Nothobranchius furzeri: one gene and its partners. The protein of the gene in region 2 interacts with the protein of the main gene of each other region in a pairwise test. Links are inferred from orthologs where the notes say so. Each region holds a gene or a part of one and is shown on either strand. Other genes may lie near its edges.

Region 1 (6,392 bases), on a different chromosome or scaffold from region 2:
CATAAACTTGTGCTCCTGATCCGAGTCATTTGATTTAGACTATGTACCGATACAGAGACCCGATCCGATACTTCAGCACAGCATTAATGTAAGAAAAATGGGAAAACATCCAAATAATTAAGTTTCTCTGCCAAAAAAAAACAAACAAAAAAAACATGACTTGCTTATTAGGAAGTACACGAATAAAACAAACGTGCTAATATTATAAATATATATAAAAGTAACAAAGTTGCTCATACGTCAAATTGTTTACATCCTCATTATGCGGCTGTATTGAGTAACGCGCGTTCCCGTGATGGGGGGGGGGGGGCATGCAGCACTACATCCAGCAGGCTTATCTAAACAAAGAGATGTGAACTGGGACTTAAAGCAACTCGATGAGTCATTGTGGCGATGCCCGAAGGGAAAAGGCCGAAGGAGAAGGTAGTTTGTTTTGAAGGCTGCTTATCATGCAGCTCTCTTTTCCAGCTTGTTGAATGCCCAGTATGCACACATAAGTGGCTGTTAAGCCTAATTTATACTTCTGTCAGCTCCACGAGGGAGACACGCACGAATGGACAGAGGCGATTTGTTCGGACTTCTCCGTCTCCTGAGGAGTGTTGCAAAGCTGTTCCCCACCAGGACAACAGAGGGTGTAGCGCTGTTCTGAGGTATCCTGTCATGTATCTGGCCCAATATAGTGGATTTTGGGACAGCAGTAGCTCAGGTGGTAGAGCGGGTTGCCTCATGATCAGAGGGTCATGGGCTTGACTCCAGCTCCCGCCAGGGGTATCCTGCTGTTGTGTCCTTGGGCAAGACACTTCACCCAACTTGCCTGTGTTAGTGGTGGTCAGAGGGGCCGACGGCACCAAATGGCAGCCTCGCCTCTGTCAGACCTCCCCAGGGCGGCTGTGGCTACAAGTAGCTTACCATCACTAGCAGTGTGTGAACGTGAGAGTGAGTGGAAAAAGCGTCTTTGGATGTCTAGAAAAGCGCTATATAAGTTCAATGCATTATTATTATTAATAATTATTGCGTTTTTTAAATTTTATTTCCGAGACTTTTTAACACGGACAAAATTGTCCCTCCTCCTACTCCACCTCTTCATGCACTCGCCACCTCTAAGCCTACGTTTCCCATCATTTCCATCCACGAAAAGAACGCTTGCTGCATATTTTTTCACTCCTCCAGTCACCGGTGAATAAAACGTTCATACTTTAAGAGTTTTTCCACGAGGTATTCTTCAAAGCGGCTCCGTGTCTGCCTCTAGATGTCTTCTTAAAACTAAGCCGTTTGAAAATTTCTATTCAGGAAGAATTAAAAGTTACATTTGTTGTTTTATACGGTTAAATCCAATCTTTTTCACACGATTCTCATCTTCGGAAAATCAAGTGATCGGGCCTAAACTCCAAACGCTTGATTGGATCGGCGCATCAAAATCAAAAACACTGACGCTCATCTCCACAATAGATTGGTAGCTACCCTAAGTTGGTAGACGTTCTTTTGCAGATCTGCCATTGTAACTTTAAACTTACTTTTCCGTGACTGCATCTCAAACTGACTGAGGGACTGTTTGTTGCACGGTGTAACGATGGGATTCTGTCCATGGAGCTCCCTCTTCGACAACAACTCCATTAACTTCCTGGATGATGCTTCTGAACCCACACACACGAGAGCAAATCTGAAGAACGCAAAGACAAACACAAGAGTCATTTTAATAATCATGCTCACAGCAATCAGAGAAGCTGGAGACAATACAAGGGTTATACTTAAATCAAACACAAAAACAATGGCCTCACTCACCCTTTTGACTGGCCATTGGCTCTGTTTTCATAGAATTTAATCTCTAGCACATCTGAGATGCCTATTGAACGGACGGCTTCTGTCAGGTCTTCATCTGTTGTCCACTGTGAGAGAAAACAAAATTTGAGTGATCTTACCAAATTTTCTGATGAATGCTATAAAAACATTTTGGCTGTTAAGATGACCGATACCCACCCACGTGAGGTTTCCTACATACAGGGCAATCCTTTTGCCTGTGTAGGTGTATGCGTTGGGTGGTGCACTCTTCCCCCCCTCCGAGCCACCTGGAGCAAGTGGTGCATCCAGGTACTCCCGGTCTTCAGGAGCATCTCCATTATTGGCCGAAGGTGAGATTACATCATCATACAAGTCGATCTGCTCATGAGCTGGGTACTCTGGTTCCTGAGGTATGATAAAATGTATGAATCAAAAACAGGATGTTTCTACTTCATTCTTTTCACTTTAAATTGTTTATTTACATAAAAAAAATCTACTCTATATTGAGTGCTTAATAAATCATTAGTAGTCCCCCTTTACAGAAACTATAATTCGTTTTACTGATTTGTATTATTTAAAGATCAACTTTACTTAGATTTTTAATACATTTGCGGTGGTCTCTAGCAGGAATAAATGCCTAGTAAGTCATACTCTGGGGGAAAAAAGCTCCGGTGCACCTGTTTCAGGAACTAGAAGTGGGCCAGATCAGAGGTGAGCTTCGGACGGCAGGGTTTTGTGTTTTATTTCCTGATACTTGGACATTTCCCTTAAACTGGCCAACAGCAATGCAACTCTACCACTGACTGCTTGCTGTGTGACACTGATGTTTTATCTCCACAAACTGCACAAGCTTGAAGGAGTTCTGCTGTGTGGTGGTGTTGCTAACACCAACAGGTAGCTTTTACTAGTTCCCTGCTGTTTACCGGATGCTAAAACAGAAACAACCTTTCCTGTTGCGCGAGTCAAAACGGGCGAGTCCATGAATGTTAAGTGACTGTGTGATGAAGATCTGTCAGGCTTTTCAAATCCTAGAGTTTCACCGACTATTTCCTACCAGAAGCTGATGCAGGAGATAGGTGTAGGAGACTGTTTTCATGTTCAGAAATAATAAAAAAAAATGGGTTTTCAGTGTCACGTTAAAAATATGAGAGATAATGTTAAAATTTCAATACATGTTGTTACCAGGACACTGACTTAAAGGGATTAAATTCCTATAAGATGTAACTACTGTTCAATGGACTACATTAAAGTTGTTTTATACATTCGTGTGAGACATTTCAGCGCCACCCTTTTGTTGTCTTTGGTACCTCGCCCTGGCATTAAAACAAATTAGCTTGCGTATGTCGTGCTTTTGTTGTAGGAACATTGAGGGATTATTGTTGATTACCGTTCAAATCATGGAGGCTGTTTGTCCCTCAGAAAGAAGGGGCGTAAGCAGCGAAATGCCCGGATGTACTGCTTCTTTACGCAGCCTCTACAAGCTAGTGCTACAAATGTTCTATCAACTCATCTCTAAATTAAACATGCACTTACCCAGGCACTGCGGAGCATTCCCACTCATTTACTTTAAAAGCGAATGGGTGGCAGCTCATAAAAATCTGAGCTGATTCACACGATCGTTTGGAAAACCTACGAGGTTAGCTCATAGTAGCTAACAGTAGGAGCATCTGTTTGACTCGCTGGTCCGCCATGGGAAACCACGCGGAGGCCTGGAAGGGAGCTACACGAATAAGTGGCTATAAATCTTGTTTACTCGCGTAAAATTATACTAATAATTATGTACCCGTTGTATAAACCCTTGGGCAAAACACACGCCTCGGTGAATGCTTTTACTTCAAAGGCTACATTGATCTGAAGCTGAGCTGCAACCAAGCGCCCTGAAAGGCCTCTTCAACAGACTCGCATACAAATACGATTTTATCCAATTCTAATACCAACAAATGATTACAAGCCTCCACAAAACCAAACACGGTTGAATGAACTGCCGTGAGTTAATAATACCTGGCTGAATTCCTCCTCCACATCGGCATAAATGTCGATATGATCCACACCATCCGCCATTTTCTCCCGATCCGCCGCTCTCTACCCGCGCGGCGGTGCAGTCTGCAGACCCAACAACGACCCACAAACAAGCAACCTCAGGGCGCGCCCCTGCTGGCCGCTGTGGGTACACGAGTAAATAACCCACTTTTCATTCTAATAAGTTTCATAATGAAAATCTGTTTGGTTTGGAGACATGAAATTTGACACACTTGCACCCATCCATCCATCCATCCATCCATCCATCCATCCATCCATCTATCCATCCATCTATCTATCTAATAATAATAACAATACTATGTTCTTATATATGTAAAAATATGTCCTTATGTATGTAACATAATACAATTTGTGTTTATTTTTAAAATATTGTTTATAAGTACATCTTGTTATCAAGTGGACCAGTTAGAGAGTTGCCAAAGTTGTGTGTGGCCAAATGTCTTCAGACCATCGAATTACTACAAGATTAAACATGTTATAATAACCATGCATGCGATTAAAAAATATTAATTATCTTCTTGTTTGTATGTTTGTTTGCACCCTTGTGGGGTTTTTTAAATCAGCATTACAATAAACGTGTTATCAAAAAATTAAGAATTTTTTCTTAGCTAATTTAAGAAAAACAATCACAGCTAGAAATATTTAATACGTCGTGATTTGGTCACACAAAAGACACACTGAAATATTGCATTTTCTATGATTTATGTGTTTTAACGAGATAGCAGCTGGTGGTGCTCTACGGGTTTAAAGATCTTTAAAGCTCGTTTACGTACAAATGTTTTATTATTTGGAGCCTAGTATTGGGAGTGTTGGACTGGATTGGAGTTGTATTGTCACAACATAGCCACAAGAGGGCGACAAAGGTTTCAATTAAACAGCACAAAGAGACATCAACGTTCTATTGTTTCCCTCTTGATTGGTTCTTTCCTTTTGAAATTACTTAATCGATTCCGTTGATTTTGTTCCAGTAATTTCAGAAAATGTTGCTAAGAACAAATATTTAAAAACGTATCCTAATATTTCTAGACTTGTATCTGGTGAGCATGTGATCAAATAATATATTTTATTAAATTTACCTCAGTTCTGTCCAGTTTATTTATATAGTGCCAAATCACAAGTCATCTCATGGCACTTCACATTACTAACCAATTCAATTCATTATACCAATTAGTAAAAAGTTTTCCCATATAAGGAACCCAGCAAATTGTATTGAGACACTGCCTAGTGTCAGTGTCTTTTACAGCAATCCTCATTCAAAGCAAGCATGTAGCAACAGTGGAGATGAAAACTCCTTTTAACAGGAAGAAACCTCAAGAGGATCTTGGATCAGTATAATCAGCCATCTGCCACGACTTACTGGGGATTGACTCACCCCGGCCCCTACACAGCGCCAGGTGGGATATTCTGGCCACACGGGCGATATGGGCTGGATGGCATTTCATTACAGTTTTTCTCAGTTGCTGTGGTGCATTTCTCACAACTGGATTGATCTCTGCACCACTACTAAGGCTCTTCTCAAAACAATTAGTGCAAACTGCAAAACATGGTGGATAACTTGCAAAAGTGAATCACTTCATCAAAAAGAAAAGTCAGTTGTTGAAAATAAGTAGTCAATGCTTCAAAAGCAAGTCCCTTAATCAAAATAAATAATATATTCATCAAAGGCAAGTACTTATATCAATCAAAGTGTCAGGGCTGTCACAATTACAAGTGATTACACCGGCACCTTTGGTCACAAAATCAAATGGTTTGAACGTGTTCTCATTGTGACGGATTTCTTTGTAGGTGCTTCCCAATGACATGTCAAGTCTGGACAGCATGCACGGCATGTTGAAAACCATAAATTGTAAAGGAAAATCAAGACACTTCATGTGCACTCTTGATAATATTTAATCGAAACTGTTCACAGCATTGTGCAACTGGGGAAATACAGTAAAACAAATATTTTACAGCAAATATAAACTCACTTACACAGTAAGCCTTACTGCAGTAGTTATGAAACAAAAAAAAACTGAACAGACACTGCTGCATATCAATCATTGATATCTACACGCTCCCGTCTGTCTGCCCACATATTTTCATCAGCATCACAGGGAATGTCAGCTCTATCGATGCATCGGGGAAAGTATCTTCTGGAGTGTCGAATCCACCCTCTGCAGGACTCTGCTGTGATGTCACCACAAGCTGCATCCATAGCTGCTAGCAGGGCCATTTGGGTATGTGGATGCCTGTCATATACCTTCCACCGGCAGGAAGAGAAAAACTCCTCAGTTGGATTTAGGAATGGAGTGTAAGGAGGAAGAAACTCCACAAGCATCCTGTCGTGTGCTGCAAACCACTGCCGGACTACAGCAGAGTGATGGAAGCTAACATTATCCCAAACCACTACACACATTGTCCGATTGTCACCAGGACACACACCAGTTTTCATTAGTGTGAGCTAAGGTTCACCTGAGAAAAGTAATTTATGGAGATTTCCATGGAAACTCCTTAAACATAGGGTTTTCAAAATGGGTGTACAAATTGTTTGACAAGATGTTCAACAATTTTGAGTGCAATGACACAAGCAATGA
Region 2 (5,919 bases):
CAAACCAAACCTTCTGGAGTCAAATGTGCCAGATGTTAAGAGTAATGAGATTACAGTCCTGTGTTGAGGAGGAGCTTGTGTAGTTTAAAGACTTTTTGATGTGACCTCCTCTGTGAAGGGAGCAGGGCCTTCAGGAGTGTGCCTCAGCAGCTCTAACCCTAACCCTCAGGCTGGCTCAGGAAGGTCTGCTGCCAAAAAGCAAAGACCCAAAACCTCCAAATATTGATTTTTCTTTTCACGAATAAGAGATCAGGCTGGGATGGAGTCCTCTCCCTCAATACAATCACTGTTTAACTAAAAGTTTGCAAATTTCATCTCAAAGTAGTCACAGATCATTGGTGATGCCTGGAAAACTTCTCCTTTAGTTTCAGAGACAAATGAGACAAATGAGACACCTAATAGATAAAACAAAGGGAACATACACAGGAATCAAACCGTCTGTAATTAACCGCTGTAATAAAATCTGTACAACTGCACCAAAGTCATCTGCCCCTCGTGACCAGGCCATCTATGGGCATTATTATGGTGTTACTCCTAGAGTCCTGCTGGTTCATTCCAGTCCCCGCCTGGTGAGACTCGGTCTTGTTCACATGACATGATTCATCTATAAAATGACCTCAGCATTCAGATGTGTCGTCCTGCTGACCGCAGCATGTGTGTGAGATGAGCACTGACCATGTGTGGCTCCGAGGAAGCCACGTGTCCTTCCCCACCTTCTCAATGCAGAACTTCTGAGGACCGTTACTTCCTGAAATCCATCAAAACGGTGAGCTGAGAAGACCGTTTGCATCAGCGCAGCTCCAGATGTTTCACATGTCTACTACTGACCCATGAGCTCAGCAAAGCCGCCCAGAGGAAGCCTGCAGGTTCCAGTGACAAACTGCATGAGTCGCAGTCGCACCTCATTGTCCACTTCTTTCACCAGCTGCGGGGACGAAAGTGAGGACAAACTCAGTCATCATTACTGACCCGACTGCCCCTGCTCAGCTCTAGAGGACGGAGCCAGACTTTAACAAACACACGGAGAAACAAAGCCACCACGAGGATGAGCAGCTCTCTAAAACCTGTAGCACAGGTGAGGAGCGAGTACCTGCCAGAACCAGATGATCTGTTTACTGTTCCTGGTGTAGTGGCGGTACACAGTGTTCCTCTGCCAGTCCTGTAGGTCCACCTCCTGCATTCCACACAGCATCACCTAGATCACACACACACACACACACACACACACACACACACACACACACACACACACACACACACACACACACACACACACACACACACACACACACACACACACACACACACACACACACACACACAAGATGATAAGTAACCTCTATGGCGTGGCCTTGGACGGTGCGCGTCAGTGTCAGGTTATAATAAACGATGGAAGTTAAAAGTAAATGACTGCTCACCTCAAGCTCCTTTTCATCAAAGTACTGGAGCCACTGAAGCGGAACCACCTCATTGAATCCATCCAGGAAGGCTTTGGTCTGACCTTCGACCCCACGTGAGAATCTCCATTCTGCCATCAGACTGCAAAAACACAAAGCAGCAGAGCATTTCAAACGGAGCTGCTCTGAAGGAAAGCCAGAGGCGGAAGGGTTTCCTGTGATGAGAAAACAACCTGATGTATTCTTCTTTGTTTTCCTCAGTCACCAGGATGTTGGCGCCATCGGGTTTGAGGTCATGAGAAGTGATCTTCCCCAAGATCTCCATGTCAACTGAGAAGTACATCTCCAGACCACATTCCTCTATGTTGTTGTCCCTGAGGGGAGGAGATCCTGCTTATTAGGGGTGTGTCCTGGCAAGAATCTGGCAACACGACATATTCTGGCACGAAAAGTCAGATGATAGTCGCAATTTTTAGGACTAAAATTAATCGTACAAGTCAGTTCAGACACCTCTGGTGATTTTGTGAGAATAAAGGAGGAAAATCCTGCTGCCCCCTAGCAGTTGGAGTGTGAATTGCACCACACAATAAAAATTCTGGAAATGTTTGAATGAAAATGCTCAATAAAAATAAATCAATGCACAGCTTTTAAACACAGATTTAGTATCATGACATTTCAGTGTGTCGACAAGCTCATACTTGTTTCTTGTTTCAAATGAAAACAAAGAAACTGACTCAGAGCTGCTCACAACACTTTCAGGCTGTGGGTCTCCCTGATCCTGCCTCAGGCAGCTCTTCCCTCCAGTCCAGCAGAGAGGAGGCTGTTTGGTGCAGAAGTCTGAGGTGTGACCAGTGGAAATGTAAAACGTTACGTGCTAAGAGAGCTCTGGTTCAGTTTAGTTTAGTTTCAGGACCTTTATGTGGAAAAAGAACCCCCGGACTCGCCAAGTGAAGAGCTGACAGAGAAATGCAGCTCGTATGTGTAAGGGTAAACCAACATGGTGGCCTGAGGCTGTGATGATCTGCGAGGCCAGCAGGTGCTTGACACATTCTCTACATAAAGCCATCTATCACGACACCTGCCGTGGTTCGTGCTCAGGGTTTTTCCTGCGTTCAAATTTGCGTGGCGGCCACCTCCAGCTAATGTTGTGCCGCCCCAGCCTGATTTCACTCTGCCCCCAGCTATATGGATGTTATTTTAACTGCAGTTGCAGCGTTGCGCCACTACACAGGTGCTGTATCAGCAGCAGTGCACTAAAAAGCGCGAAAACCGCTGCAAAAAAAGATGAAAAATGGCTTTTCTCGCTAGTTGGTACATATCTTTGGTTGGTGCTATTGACGTCCTGATTTTCCCCCAGGCTCTTCCATATCAGAGTAGGGCTCAGTGCGACAAAAAAAAAAAAAACACTGTCTGTGTGTGTCTGTCTATTTTCCCCAGAACTTTATTGAACAAAAGTAAGTTACGTGTAAGAAAAATGCTTTTTACTGGCACACAGTGTGGAAATCTGGATGCAGTGGAGGAAAATAAAGGAACCAGCAAAGGCAGAACTGGTCCAAAGTTTGGGATCAAAAGTGCTGCTACACACAGATAGGCTAAAGCTAACAGGTAGCAGTCTCACGATCAAGTGGCGCACAGAAAAATATATGATGATCGAAAAACTAAGACTAAACTCTACAAGCGGATGAAAAGTCCCCACCATCCTGTTTATCCTGCATCCTGCAGCACTCTGGATCAGAACCGCTGCAGATACGAGTGACATTACTGCTACAAGTCTAAGGCAAGCCGTTGTAGTATATAATCCACAAACGCTTCTATCTCTGAACATAATTTGAACTGGATTATTGCCAACCCGTACATAATGGACATGCCACCATTACACTGTTAGCAGCAGAAATGAAATGTTATTACCATTTCCAATACAAATGCATGTTAATGAAATGCATTATATTTTACTGGATATATTTATGTGTTATTTTGACTAAGATGAGTGTTATTAATACAAACCTAAAATGTTACTGAAATGTAGGTTAAATATTTAAAAATATTTTTAACTATAAATATCAGATGGGAAAAGGGAACTAAACACCAATCTAATGCATATTATTGAGCCTTTTATAATAAGTCTGTTATTTCAGCCTGATCATTTTGTTGTTTTATTTCGTAATTTTTAGCAGCAAACCAGTTTTGTTTCACTTGAAATATTGTCAAATGGAATACTCTATTCATCAACAGAAGCTTAGATTAGAACACTTGACAAAAAAATATTTTGCCTTCAAAAAAGTGAGGCAGTTGAATGCACCGAGTATGCATGTGCTGGTGCATGGTCAGGACGGTACCACCTCTGCCTCCATTTGATTCAGGAAAAACCCTGTTGCTGTACCGGCTAGACCTGGTAAAAGTCTCATGGAGCTGGTTAAAATCTAAACAATTAATGACAAAGCCTGCAAAGATATAACTTATGCAACATTTTATTCACTTTTTTTTTCAGTTCTCTTTTATCTCAGTGATTTATTTAGTTCTGTTCCACAGTGTTAACTTAAAGATCTGGTACTCAGGAGTCTTTTTCATTTTCAACGTTTGAAATGTTGTCCTTGCTCTTATTTCCGATGCAGGTAGGGTTGTGGGTTCAAAAATACCTCCCAAACTGAATAAACGCCTATGAAGAGAAGAAGGGTTTGTTCAAACGGACTCTAAACATGGAGCACTGAGCACATTTGTTCATAATGGGATGCTTTTTCTCTCAGAAATCACGTGAATGAACAAAATCCTTTCAGTAATATTTTAAAAGAACTTTCCTCTTGAAGGAATCTTGAAGGTGATTCGTAACACCCGTAACCTGCATGTCTATCGGCCACACCAAACGATGCTACAGCCCTGATGTTTACCTGATCCATATGAGTGAGTTGTAGAATTCTGGGTCGATGGACTCCAGGTCTTTAAGGATCAGCTTCTTGTTCAGCATGCGTTTGTAGAAAGGCAAGGAGAAGCCCGTGTCGATGAACTTCCCGTGGAAAAGGGCCTACAGGAACACAAGAGATGACTAATTACAGAAATACAGATTATGTGCAGGTTCGTGCATAAAAGTGAAAACATATGAATGGCTGCTGATTGAAAAACATCCGGAAATTAAAGCTGCAATAAAAAAATCTGCAAAACTGGCTAACTTTTAAACACAAAGACAGTCAGAGAACTCTCACCCTTCTTGTCAGCCATCATCCCTAGGCCACTCCCCCCTGATATGGGAACCCGCATTGTCAGAGAGAGTGCTAAACACCAGTCACCAGTTTCTAGATCCAAGCATTTTTTGTTGTCTGTGACTTCAAATGGTGTTTTTCTTTCTGGTAGTTTGTCCTAAAGTTGAAGTGGTAGCAGCCACCTGTTTCTGATTCTCTGATGTTATTGAGCGGAGAACCTCTCACACCAGTGGTATTCTGATGCTAAATAACTGAGTGTGTGTGATGAATGGAGGACCCAGGGAAATGCAGCAGTTCAGTGAGCCAGTGTTGGACAGCCGTCTTCTGACCAGACACCGCACTAAACAGTTTTGTGGGACAGTTAGGTGTCCTAGGGGGAGCTCTCTATGAGCTGTTAGCTGTTTATTGTGTCAGTAGCTAAAATAAAGAGTAGCAGTTGGCAAACAGTGAATAAATAGCTCAAGAAGAAAACTCAATTCTGTTGGCATCATGGCAGAGCCTGGAAGTAGGAGAGTAGTGTCTCTGGAGGAGAAGCAAAGAGCTAAAAGTCGGCACAGCCTAAGGAGCTAAAGGAGGCTATGAAACTACGGACCGATGGTGACCTGGCTTTGTTGCTACTGAACTTGTACGCAATAATATTTTGTACAACAGCGAGGATCGTTTTACTTTGTGGTTTATTTTAGTATTAGTCGGCTCATGTAAGTGTTAGCTTGTTTATTAGCCTTAGCTACAGCAGGCGGCAGGAGAGTTGTTTACAACTGTTGTAACTCCACTTTCAACCAGTAGGGCAGAGGAGCAGGAAATTCTTTGGTGTTACTTTAATACTAGTCATTACTTATTCCCAACCAATCAAAACCACAGACCCAGGTATGCTCCATCACCAAGCCCTCCCCTCTTAAACAAACATAAAACAAGAAGTCACAACAAGGAGACTCAGGAGAAAACTGTCCCATAAAAATGTTACAGTAGTTCACCAGCATGGCAACATTTTGATTTTTACACGTCTAACAGAAAAGAGACAACAGTCATTTACAGATTTAGCAGAGAGTTGATGAAAACCAAGCAACTAACTTGTTTTATCATAAAATAATAAAAGAAAACGGTCCAGCACTAGTTTGGATATTCCCAACACATCCTGGAACGTGAGTGGTGCTCCAACTCATTCTTCTTTTTTCTTGTCCTCACGTCCAACATGTTAGCATTAGCAGTAGTTTGGGTTAGCTTTACTGCCACCAGCATTTATTTATTTGCCGACGCTGAAGTGGGTTGGGACACGCGTTGTGTGTGTGGGAGGTGTTGATCCAAGCTTATGAAGTGTTCTCCACAGC
Region 3 (5,468 bases), on a different chromosome or scaffold from region 2:
CCACCCGATTCACATTGCACCGGACCCTTCATGTTCCTCCTGCGGGTGGTGGGTCCACAGTTGGACGAGCCCATGTATCCGGTTCGGGCTGGGCCCGGCCGGGCCCCATGGGCGAAAGCCCGGCCACCAGGCGCTCGCTCACGGGCCCCAACCCCAGGCCTGGCTCCAGGGTGGGACCCCGGTAACCCTCCGGGCCGGGTACTCCGACTCTTCGTTTTAACCGCCATGAAAGATCCTTCGAAGGAGATGTACAGTTGGATGTAATCTGCAGAAAGATGGTAGGAGATTCCTTTGAAGGAGCTCTTGATGTGCTGAAGAGGAAGCAGATAGAGGACGAGTAGAGGCCCCAACACAGAACCTTGTGGGACACCATGGGTAAGAGAGGTGGTGGAGGACCTAAACTTAGAGACGGCCACAGAAAAGGAGCGCTCAGAGAGATAAGAGGAGAACCACTCCAGAGCAGATCCTGATAGGCCTACCCAGTCTCAGCCTCTCCAGTAGCAGGTGATGGTCAACAGTGTCAAAGGCTGCAGTCAGGTCCAGCAGGACCAAAACAGTCCCCTGCATCACTGTGGGTCAGAAGGTCATTAGAGACCCTAAGAAGAGCGGTTTCAGTAGAATGAGCTCTACGAAAACTTGACTGGAAGCTATCATAGATGTTATGTTCATCAAGAGCAGCTGTGAGTTGTTTAGCCACAACCTTTTCCAAGATCTTGGAGATGAACGGAAGTTTAGAGATGGGCATGTCCCTGTCAGCCTCTGGGGGCCTGCATAATGGCATTGTGTATCTCAATCGCTGAGCTGATGGAGAAGAATCAGGCTTCAGAAGTTCTCTAGTTCTCACTGCTCCAGTCTTAAACCAGATAGTGAACCTGTTGGATTGTCTTGGTCTGATATCAGCGTATCTGGAGAACCCAGAGGACAAACCGGTGTGCTGCCTGTATAATGTTGTGTCTACTTTATGTTTCTCCTTGCTCTGCTACCTTTAGGATGTAACCTCAAGATCTTCAACAACCAGGAATTTGCTGCCCTGCTAGCACAGTCAGTCAACCAGGGCTTTGAGGCTGTTTACCAGCTTACCAGGATGTGCACCATCCGCATGAGCTTCGTCAAGGGCTGGGGAGCTGAATACAGGTGAACCGTTCAGATTCTTCATGATTCTTGTTCCTCACCCTACAGCTGAGATGATTTCCTACTTTTGGATTGGTTCTTATTTTCTATGACAACCGAGTAGAACTGGTGCTTGTCTTGGGTTTGAATCCTGTCCAGAACAAACTCCATTATGGGGGCTCTGCCAATCCAGCACTGCACGCTCGATTTAGGTTCCTGCTCCTGCCAAATAGAAAAGAAGTTACAAAAACAACAACTTTTAATTGTGCAGATTTCACTAGAAGAGTGGAAAGTTTCACACAAAGGAGAAAACTACTCAGAGCAAGTCTAGTTTACATAATGTTAAGGGCCTAATCTCTAGCCTGTTTATTACACATCAGTCTGATGTTTTTCAGGTTACCTCTAACCACCGGTAGTTGATCTACATCCCACATTTGTTTTGTTGGAATCTGGTCCTTGAGTCACTGTTTAGTTTTGAATAAATATTAAGCCCTCACTTATTAGCTGTGCCATTGTGTAGAGATTACTGATCAAAGATGGACTCCCCACAGCATGGGTCTACACGTAAAAAGAGACAATAGAAGCACGCTCTGAGTCACAGAGCTCAGCCACCTCCACTCACACTCTGGTGAATCCTCAGGATGACGTCATGTAGCCCTCGTCAACAGAAACAGGCCCAGACTATTTCTAAACAAACACACATGTGCTGTGTCAGAAGAGACGTCAGACTTTCCCTCTTCGACTCTGAGATTTCCACATGGGTTGACTCACTGATAGTAAGAAAGGAGGAGACAGAGCAGAGGGCTGGCTCCATGCACTAGTTTCACAAACGAAAGACCTTTGTGCTGCGAGGAGCAGTCTACCAGATGCTGGCATGTGGAGGAACCAGGATTCACCTTTTCCAGCTCTGTTCCTAACCCTTTTGTTCCTTCTTAAATGTTCTTTACAGAACAAGTGTAGAAAGGAACACACATAAAAAACTACCAAGTTCAAACCTAAAAAAGGCAAATGCTACACCTACAAATATACCAAACACCAATGAAAGCAAAACTAAAGCAAAGCAACAGGAAGAGGATACGGTGACGCTTTTAGCAGCGACCATCTCAGCTAGCAGGTGTTGTTTAGAATCAAACAGCAGCTGCTGAGTGAAAACAGAAGCTGGTGTGATGTTTGCAGAACATCGAATCTTTTCACAAACCTGAGCCACTTCCTCCTGTGATGAATGGTAGTGTTACTGCTCACTGCTGACGCCATCATCTAAAACCTTTTTATTCCACTTTTAGCATCAAACTGGAAACACTGGTTTCATCTCATCAGTCACAGACTGTTTTCTCAGAGTAAGAAATCAGGACAAAGGCAGATCATGTAATGATCAAATAAGCTTCTTTTTTTTACTCTGCTGCATTTTAAAATATGATCTTAATTAAATGAATTTTTTAAAGTGTAAAACGGATCAATAATTGGTAAATAAACATGAACAACAGCAGCTATAAACATGAACACAAAACAGAATGATTCTTTATTTGCTGAATGAAAGCTCCTTAGATTTAGTCTTTTATGAACATTAGCTTAGGAAGAACAAGATCTGCTCTGTAGATTGGGGATTCTGTTGCTTAGCAACAGTAGATAAACACACCAGAAGAATGGGAACATTTATAAACAGGAAATTATCTCTTTTCATGAAGCTTTTCTCTCTGCCAGATGCACACAGATGAACCTCAACATGCACGTATCACATGTGATCATCATCTGATCCCAGTTCTGTTGCACCGGGACCATCAGCAGCACGAGTGTAGCGTGGCGTCAGCAGTGTTACTGTGTGATGTAGAAGTATAGATGTCGAGTTCCTGAATCCTGATTGTGTCAGTCCGCTCTCTCTCTCTAAACATCTGGCTGTCCCCTCTCTCCATCTGTTTCCTGTGTGTGTGTGTGTGTGTGTGTGTGTGTGTGTGTGTGTGTGTGTGTGTGTGTGTGTGTGCGTGCGTGCGTGCGTGCGTGCGTGCGTGTTTGCAGGAGGCAGACAGTGACCAGCACCCCCTGCTGGATCGAGCTGCACCTGAACGGCCCGCTGCAGTGGCTCGACAAGGTGCTCACACAGATGGGCTCCCCGAACATCCACTGCTCCAGCGTCTCCTAGGGCAGCATCTCCTCGCCCCGCCCACCCTCCTGTGCACCTCGTCTCCTCATCAGAGACACGAAACTTAAACTAAAAGATGACAGACTCTTCATTCAGCCACTCTTTATCGCCCACAAACACACACTTGCCATCAGAAGCACTTTTCACAGTTTGTGGCAAAAGGGGACAAGTGCATTAAAGTCGGACCGTGTTAGTAAAACCTGATGCTAGTTTTAATCTCTGAGGGCCAGAGAGGCTTTAGACTTACGGAGTTCTTATTTTATTTGCTCTTTGATTGAAAACTGTTTATGGTTTTGATCATCTGTACAGATTTTAAGATCAATTAGAAAAAAGAAAGAAATATGTGGATTGTGTTAGTCCCACATTTCTGAATCTTAAAACATTTCAGTTGACTTTTTTAGTATTTGGTCATCTGACGTTTTGGTGCAGATGTGAATCAGTTAGCCAGACCGAAAGTGATGCCTATAATAAAAGGAGACGGTTATGTTTACAGGAATATTTTTAGCTCTCGTTTCTTCAGCTTGTTAAACAGGAATGTTCATCTTCAAACGGGATCAGATTACAGACGAGCTGAAACATTCAAACCCGTCTAAAGAAACTGTCAAAGTTTGTGACACCGGTTTGACAGTAGATGAGAAGCAGCTGGTAGTAAACTTTAAAACTTTACTCAAGTATTTAGAAACAGCTAAACTTGCTGGAAGTAGCTGCATGAATGTTGAACTCTGGTTGAAAGTTGATATTCCGGTCTAAGGAGGTTGGGAAAACTCATCAAAGTTTAAATGAGAGAATTATGCATTAAAATCAGGAAGCTTTGCCACTTTTCAACCCAGTTTTGCTGCATTTTATGTTGTAATGAATAAATGCTTTTAAACTTGAACACATCTCACATACTTTAATGTCCTTCAGACTTCTAGAGCTGAGCAGACTTATGTGAACACGTAATGTGTGAAAACTGCAGGAAGGAGCGAGACTTAAGAGCAGCTTCTAACTGGTCTTATTTTAGCCACACTGACTTTTCACATAGGACTCAAGAGGGAAAACCGCTGGAAATAAAAACATCATTAAGTGATGAATCATAGTTCAGACTTTCAGGTGTGTGTTTTTTATAGCAGTCAGTTTTGTCCAGGCGGTGTGACCTGAGCGAACACACCACTGGCTGCTTTGGAGGCCAATTCTCTACTTGCTAACCGATTTCATCAAAGCTTCTGACAAAGGGAAACATGTAGATAAATAGAAGCATGTAAATATCAGTAGTGTCTTAAAATGTGTCCTTTTTTAATTTTCAGGTCTCTACGTTTAACACACAGATGTGTGTTTATTTGTGACCAGTATTAAATGAATGGGTTACGAGGCAGAAAAGTTTTTAAAAAGTTTCTAGTTTCCTGTGAAGCGCCCACTCAGGTGGAAGTGGATCAGTTTCCTTCTGTAACACTAGACAATAATGCCAGCCGGTCGGTGCTAATCTAACATGTTAGGGGCTAAAAGGAAACAGCAAAGATGTTTATGTTCATAGAATTTTATGAAATGTTAAAAAAGTGACGTGTGAACCTGAAAACTGAAGTGTGAGATTGTTTCAGAACCAGTAGCATCTACCAGTCTGGAACAAACCAGCGTGCCGTGTCCCTGATTCTGTTGGGATCTTAAACATGTTTAATGTATTTACCCAGTTGGGAAAAGGGTTTTTTATACACTCAAAAACATTGTTTGCTTTATCTTCCCGTGTTTAATAGGTGACTGTAATAATGAGCTGTGATTTACGCTCTCCTGCTCTGAATTGGTTTTTAGATATTTTATTTCCCTGCCTTTATTATACGGTTGTGATGCTTTGTATTATTGTGTTCAATAAATAAAAATGTAAAAGTTGTGGTGAAACCAGAGGTGATGAGTCTGTTTTTATTTCAGGTTTTAATTTTGTCACAAACTCCTTCTATTTGCTTGGTTTCGTAGCTCATGAAGCTGCTTTTCTTTAGCATTTACCATAACACATAACAGGCATATTTTAGGTATTTGTGGTGGTTTGGTTCCCTCCAACAGTAATTAACAGCCTAGAGCAGACAGCACTGTAAGAACTCATTTAATCCGTGGCTGCTGTGACAGACAGGATGCAGCTCTGAGCATAAAGACTGCCTTTGTTGTGATGCCCTTCAGGTAAAGACACCGCCAGACACCATTATAGTCTGAGCTAGTTTGAAGGAAACGATCAGTTGATGCAGTTTAAAAA
Region 4 (5,919 bases), on a different chromosome or scaffold from region 2:
TTCCAATTTTCATGTTCTACCGTGGCGTGTGTTCTCAGTTTGTTAGCCGTTTAGCTAGCTGAGCGAGGATACACGGGAGGTGTCTTGTAGCCTAGCCTTGGTCAAAAATTACTCAGAATACACTGCGGTATTTTCAAAAGGACGGCGGATCAGAAGCCGGCAGCTACTTCGGGGACAATTTTCAAGTTTAAAAGTAAGTCAGCTAATTTAAAATGTTTTTTTTTAGATCCAAAGAAGTTATCTATGGTTGGTTAGTAGCTTAGTAGTTGCAGCTGCGGTGGCTAGCGGGTAGTAACTCACTTATATTTATTACTTAATAAACATATACACAATTTAAAAAGTAAAACAAGAAGACGAAAATATCATTTCTATAGCGACTCTCAAGATACAAATCACGAGGCCCTTCACAAAAACAAAAAATGTAAAAAATATTTATAAAACGCTTAAAAATATATTTAAAGTTAGCAACAATAGATAATTGTGATTAAAAATGTTAAGAAAGAGAGAGAGTGGACAGGAAAGAGGGAAATCAGTGGATCCTGAGGAAGGTGGAATAGGTGGGGAGAGCAGAATAAAGAGAGAGAGGTGAAGAAGGTCATACAAAAGCCAGCTTGAACAAGTGAGTCTTCAGCTGCTTTTTAAAGGAGACCACTGAGACCACTGATCTCAGGCTCAGGGGGAGAGAGGTCCAGAGTCTGGGGGCCACAGCAGCAGATGATCTGTCACCTTTGACCTTTAGCCTGGTGCTGCACAACCAGTAGGCTTTGGTCACTGGACCTCAGGGACCTGCTGGGGGTGTAGGGACTAAGAAGATCACCAATGTAAGATGGTGCTTGTCCATGTAAGGCCCTATAGACCAGAACCAGGATCTTGAAATGAACCCTGAAGTTGACTGGCAGCCAGTGAAGCTGGAGGAGAAGCGGGGTGATGTGGGTGTGTTTGGAGGACTTGGTCAGAAGCCGAGCACAGGCGTTCTGAACCACCTGTAGACGGTTCAAGGAGGTTCTGCTCAGACACGTGAAAAGAGAGTTAAAGTAGTCTAAGCGTGAGGAGATGAAGGTGTGGAGAACTGTCTCAAGTTCAGAGCGGGACAGAATGGGACTCAGCTTAGCAATGTTCCTGAGATGGAAGAAGGAAGAGCCAACAAGAGAACTGACATGAGAATCCAGGGTGAGAGCTGGGTCAAAGGTCACGCCAAGATTCCTGACAGAAGGTTTGGTGTGGGAAGCAAGCTGACCAAGAGAGTCTCTGACTTTGGGAACCAGCTTGTCTGGGGCACAGATGAGGATCTCAGTCTTATCTTCATTCAGCTGTAGAAAGCTCCCACCATCCAGGTTTTGATAGAGTCTAAGCAGGTGTGTAACAGCTGCAGCTTAGACATCTCATGGGGCTTAAAGGAGATGTACAGTTGGATGTCATCTGCATAAAGATGGTAGGAGATTCCTTTGAAGGAGCTCAGGATGTGCTGAAGAGGAAGCAGATAGAGGAGGAAGAGCAGAGGCCCCAGCACAGAACCTTGTGGGACACCATGGGTAAGAGAGGTGGTGGAGGACCTAAACTTGGAGACGGCCACAGAAAAGGAGCGCTCAGAGAGATAAGAGGAGAACCACTCCAGAGCAGATCCTGACAGGCCTACCCAGTCTCTCAGCCTCTCCAGTAGCAGGTGATGGTCAACAGTGTCAAAGGCTGCAGTCAGGTCCAGCAGGACCAGAACAGAACAGTCCCCTGCATCACTGTGGGTCAGAAGGTCATTAGAGACCCTAAGAAGAGCTGTTTCAGTAGAATGAGCTCTACGAAAACCTGACTGGAAGCTATCATAGATGTTATGTTCATCAAGAGCAGCTGTGAGTTGTTTAGCCACAACCTTTTCCAAGATCTTGGAGATGAACGGAAGTTTAGAGATGGGTCTGAAGCTGCTATGGAGAGAGGGGTCAAGACTCGGTTTTTTAAGAAGCAGGTGGATTACAGCGTTCTTAAAGTAAGCAGGGACCTGACCAGAAACCAGAGAAGCATTAATTATAGAGAGCACGCTGGGACCGATGGACTGAAAAACACTTTTAAACAAAGATGAGGGTAAGATGTGGAGGGGGCATGCAGAGGTCTTCATAGAGTTAACTAGTTTGGTTAACTCAGGCAAAAAAAACAGGAGCAAAGCTATCTAGGATGATGGGCCTGGTTGGAGTCGGGAGAGGCGGCGATAAGGCTGAAGGAGAGATGCTAGATCTAACCTTATTGACTTTGTCCACAAAGAAATACAGAAAGTTCTTACAGTCTGCAACAGAGTGGATGGAGGCTGTAGGAGAGGCAGGAGAGATGATGCTGCTGATGGTGTTAAACAGCACCTTGGGGTTCCCTTTGCTCTGGGACACCATGTTGGAGAAATAGGAAACCCTAGCGTCTCTGACTGCAGAGTTAAAGGACGTCAGAAGATCCTTTAGGTGCAGCAGATGGACGTGGAGATGGGTTTTCTTCCACAAACGCTCCATTTTTCTGCATTAGCGCTTCAGGCTGCGAAGGCTGTCATTAAACCAGGGAGTAGGGTTCACTGCAGGACCTGATCTGGTTCTGACAGGACAGATGTTGTCCAGAATGGAGAGGCAGTGCTCGTTGAACTGAGAAGTTAAGGAATCTGGGTCGTTATCAGAAGAACAGGGTGGATCAGAAGCAGCAGAAAAATTGCTAGCTGTGCTCTCATTAAGAAAACGAGAACTAACCAGACGGCGAGCAGGAGGTGGGGACGCAGAAACTGACAAGTTAAAGAAAATGCAATGGTGATCTGAAAGGCTCGTTATATATTTATATTGAAACTAATACGTATAAAATATAATGTTGTCTCCCGTGTCACGTGACGTTACGTGACAGCCGTGGAAGCCGCGGTCACATGATGCAAGTCTGTTCCATTTAACCGTTTTCTTTGACCAAGGAAGGACCGTGTCCTCGTAAGCCAGGCGCCTGGACATTGAGAAACACCCCATGGACTTTCAGGAGTTGTTTAAAACCAAAGATTAGTTCTGAGGAGACATTTTTACAGAGCAGGTTTGCCGTGTTTGCTTCAGTTGTTCACTTCCCTGGTAAATCTATGACCTAACAACAGCAAATGTTTGCTTTGCTCACTCACATCCCATAAAGGACGGCTCTGTCCTCAGTGTGGACAGAAACAAGAGAAAGCTAAAGCTAGAGTTTACCTCCGGGCTCTAAAGTAGCCGTGACAATGCAGACCCTTTAAACATGGAGGTTTCGAATCCCAGTGAGACTCGAATTACCTTTATCAGCTACTGACAGAGTGCTGTTGAAGTACTGCTCCTCCAGAGTCCACGAGGAGTCGTTCATTTTGGTGGAGATCCCACATGAGCCCTGGCAGAACACCTTGATGGCTGTGGAGAGAACAGGAAGTCGTTTAATCTTAATGAAAAACTAGCGCTCTTCATGTGTTCTTTACACAGAACTGGACGAATACGGCCAGAATTGAGGACAATATAGCATTCGTATTTAAATGGGAAAACCAATTAGTCTGTACACCCTGACCAGCATGAGAACGGAGCAAAAAGGGCATTTAAATTGGTTTGTGTTCGCCGAGCAGCAATAATACCAGGGTGTGAACAGAGTTTTAGTGAGTCAACAGCGAGCTGCATGGAGAGTGTAAATAAAACGTTGGTAGCGCTGGATTCTCCGACTCATTATCCAGACGACGAGATAAACAGCCTTCTCTTCAGAGTGAAAAACACTTTTATGAAGAATTTCAGGAGTGAACAAAAAGTTTCTACATTAATGTGAATTATTATGATAGAATTAACCAGAAATCAGTGGAAATGTTCATGTGTGCTGAGATTCAGGCGCCTCTTCTCTTGTGTGTCGGCGCTTCTTCTTGTTGTCTGTGAGGAAATGACAACTCTGATAACCAACACTAAACATGTGACAGATGCCGGAGGATTAGGCAGAAAGACGGAGCCGTCTGGTCTCACTATCATCTTGTTGTACAGAGCTAGGAGGCAAAGAGAGAGCTAATGTTGTAAACTCTCTCCTGAGAGCCTGAGGTCAGTGGTCTCCTTTAAAAAGGAGCTGAAAACTCACCTGTTCTGGTTTGGTGGGACTAGTGTTGTCAAAAAAATCAATACCTAGATATAAATCGATACTAAAGGTGGTATCTAAATTACATATTCCATCTCTATGGTATCTATATTATGGAGTCTCACATATACACAGCCTTCTTCAAGTACACCGACACACACGACAGCCAGATGCCGTAAAGCAGCCTCCGCCTCCCGGACAAACAGAAGAAGAAGACGCCGCATGGCTACATTGTTATTTCCCACGCGAGTTGTCTCCGATCCAAGTTTCGTTAACAATGGCAACAGCGAATTCGGGAGGCGCTTCACAGCCCAACTTAATCGACAACACAAAGAGCAAAAGTGCAGAGTGGAAACACTTTGGATACAAGGCTGATGAGTCGAGGAAAGCAACAGACCATGACAGACCCGTTTGCAAGGAGTGCTACAAAGAGATCGCTACGAAGTCCAGCAGCACAACACATTTGGCCAAGCGTCTGAGAGACCGACACCCCAAACTGCATGATGAAATGAAACAGGTGTCTAAAATTTATTAAATCTAGTAAGAATGTGTCTAATTGCACCAACAAATTTGAGCTCACGTATTAGTATTAGCTAAGCTAGCATACCAAGTCCGACACGTAGTTGTATATTCACGCTTATGTGCTTAAAGGAAACTCCCATTTATTGCAACCCGGTCTTAATTTCTAGCATGCAGTACGTTTGTTTACTCACGCTGACAACTTTGGTGCTACTTGGATTCCCTGGGGTATTTAGATCCATCGGCGAATCGCCATCAGTGTATATCCATATAACGGGTGCGGACGGGCACCCATGGTGCAGCCTCGACATAAGACATTATCTGCACCAAAACATCTTCATGTCGAAAGGCTTTGTTAGGAATCATTAACATGATTCCCCTGTTCGTTTGGAGCGGGTCTGGGATTTCTAGGCGTAAATAGACTAGCCGCGGCTAATCTAACCGGCGCTTTTAATTACGTCACTGCCGTGCGCCAATCTGTTTTTATTAAGATTACCGGTAGATGTACCTTTGTCCTACTGTGGAGAAATTCGTTTTCTCCCTTTACTGACCAACAGAGTTGTTCAAAAGTAATGAACAAAACATTAGCATTACATCTTATGACAAAAATGCACCTTAAACAGAGTTTAAGCAGCAAAACTGAAGTTCCTCGTGCCTTTAAACACGCTGTTCTACAACCAATCTTGAAAAAACCCGGCCTCGATCCCACCGATTACTCTAATCTACGACCAATTTCCAAATTACCGTTTTTATCTAAGGTCCTTGAGAAAATAGTCTATGCACAGTTGGTGAAACATCTAAATGAATATCAGGTAATGGACACCTGTCAGTCTGGTTTTAGACAACAGCACAGCACTGAAACTGCTCACGTTCGGGTGTTTAATGACATTTTTCTGGCTTTAGATTCAGGTTTCCATGTGGTTCTGGTACTTTTGGATCTATCTGCAGCATTCGACACGATCGATCATGACATTTTGATCACAAGACTTCACACTTGGGCTGGCATTTCAGGCACTGCCCTGGATTGGTTTAGGTCATACTTTTGTAACAGGTCTGCTAGGGTCATGTTGGACGGCTGTTCATCAGAGTCACAGCCTCTACGTTGGGGTGTCCCACAAGGTTCAATTCTCGGCCCGTTACTGTTCAACCTCTATATACTGCCCTTAGGAGCCATTTTCAGAAAGCACGCTGTCTCATACCATCTTTACGCTGACGACTGTCAAATCTACTTTTCATTTAAGCCAACTCAATCAACGAAAGTTCTGTCTGATTGTATCCTCGAGGTCAAGCAATGGCTAGCTGATAACTTCCTCCATCTTAATGACTCCAAAA

The links.
Region 1: the proteins of NEDD4-like E3 ubiquitin-protein ligase WWP1 (region 2) and cpsf6 interact in binary tests that used the Homo sapiens proteins (3 or more experiments, as listed by UniProt). The link is inferred for Nothobranchius furzeri from reciprocal best matches to the Homo sapiens genes WWP1 and CPSF6.
Region 3: the proteins of NEDD4-like E3 ubiquitin-protein ligase WWP1 (region 2) and smad3a interact in binary tests that used the Homo sapiens proteins (3 or more experiments, as listed by UniProt). The two-hybrid records come from large-scale screens. The link is inferred for Nothobranchius furzeri from reciprocal best matches to the Homo sapiens genes WWP1 and SMAD3.
Region 4: the proteins of NEDD4-like E3 ubiquitin-protein ligase WWP1 (region 2) and arrdc1b interact in binary tests that used the Homo sapiens proteins (3 or more experiments, as listed by UniProt). The link is inferred for Nothobranchius furzeri from reciprocal best matches to the Homo sapiens genes WWP1 and ARRDC1.

Annotation. Positions count from the first base shown.
Region 1 is NC_091741.1:47,839,421-47,845,812, reverse strand, and holds the start of cpsf6 (cleavage and polyadenylation specificity factor subunit 6), read right to left. Parts: upstream 3,933-6,392; 5' UTR 3,841-3,932; coding exon 3,781-3,840; intron 2,185-3,780; coding exon 1,978-2,184; intron 1,887-1,977; coding exon 1,783-1,886; intron 1,661-1,782; coding exon 1,515-1,660; intron 1-1,514. UniProt on the Homo sapiens protein: Component of the cleavage factor Im (CFIm) complex that functions as an activator of the pre-mRNA 3'-end cleavage and polyadenylation processing required for the maturation of pre-mRNA into functional mRNAs.
Region 2 is NC_091747.1:36,664,073-36,669,991, forward strand, and holds part of NEDD4-like E3 ubiquitin-protein ligase WWP1, read right to left. Parts: intron 4,417-5,919; coding exon 4,283-4,416; intron 1,772-4,282; coding exon 1,631-1,771; intron 1,540-1,630; coding exon 1,419-1,539; intron 1,196-1,418; coding exon 1,091-1,195; intron 926-1,090; coding exon 829-925; intron 749-828; coding exon 676-748; intron 1-675. UniProt on the Homo sapiens protein: E3 ubiquitin-protein ligase which accepts ubiquitin from an E2 ubiquitin-conjugating enzyme in the form of a thioester and then directly transfers the ubiquitin to targeted substrates.
Region 3 is NC_091749.1:43,543,607-43,549,074, forward strand, and holds the end of smad3a (mothers against decapentaplegic homolog 3a), read left to right. Parts: intron 1-989; coding exon 990-1,134; intron 1,135-3,123; coding exon 3,124-3,247; 3' UTR 3,248-3,469; downstream 3,470-5,468. UniProt on the Homo sapiens protein: Receptor-regulated SMAD (R-SMAD) that is an intracellular signal transducer and transcriptional modulator activated by TGF-beta (transforming growth factor) and activin type 1 receptor kinases.
Region 4 is NC_091746.1:74,985,306-74,991,224, forward strand, and holds part of arrdc1b (arrestin domain-containing protein 1b), read right to left. Parts: intron 3,375-5,919; coding exon 3,264-3,374; intron 1-3,263. UniProt on the Homo sapiens protein: Functions as an adapter recruiting ubiquitin-protein ligases to their specific substrates. Through an ubiquitination-dependent mechanism plays for instance a role in the incorporation of SLC11A2 into extracellular vesicles.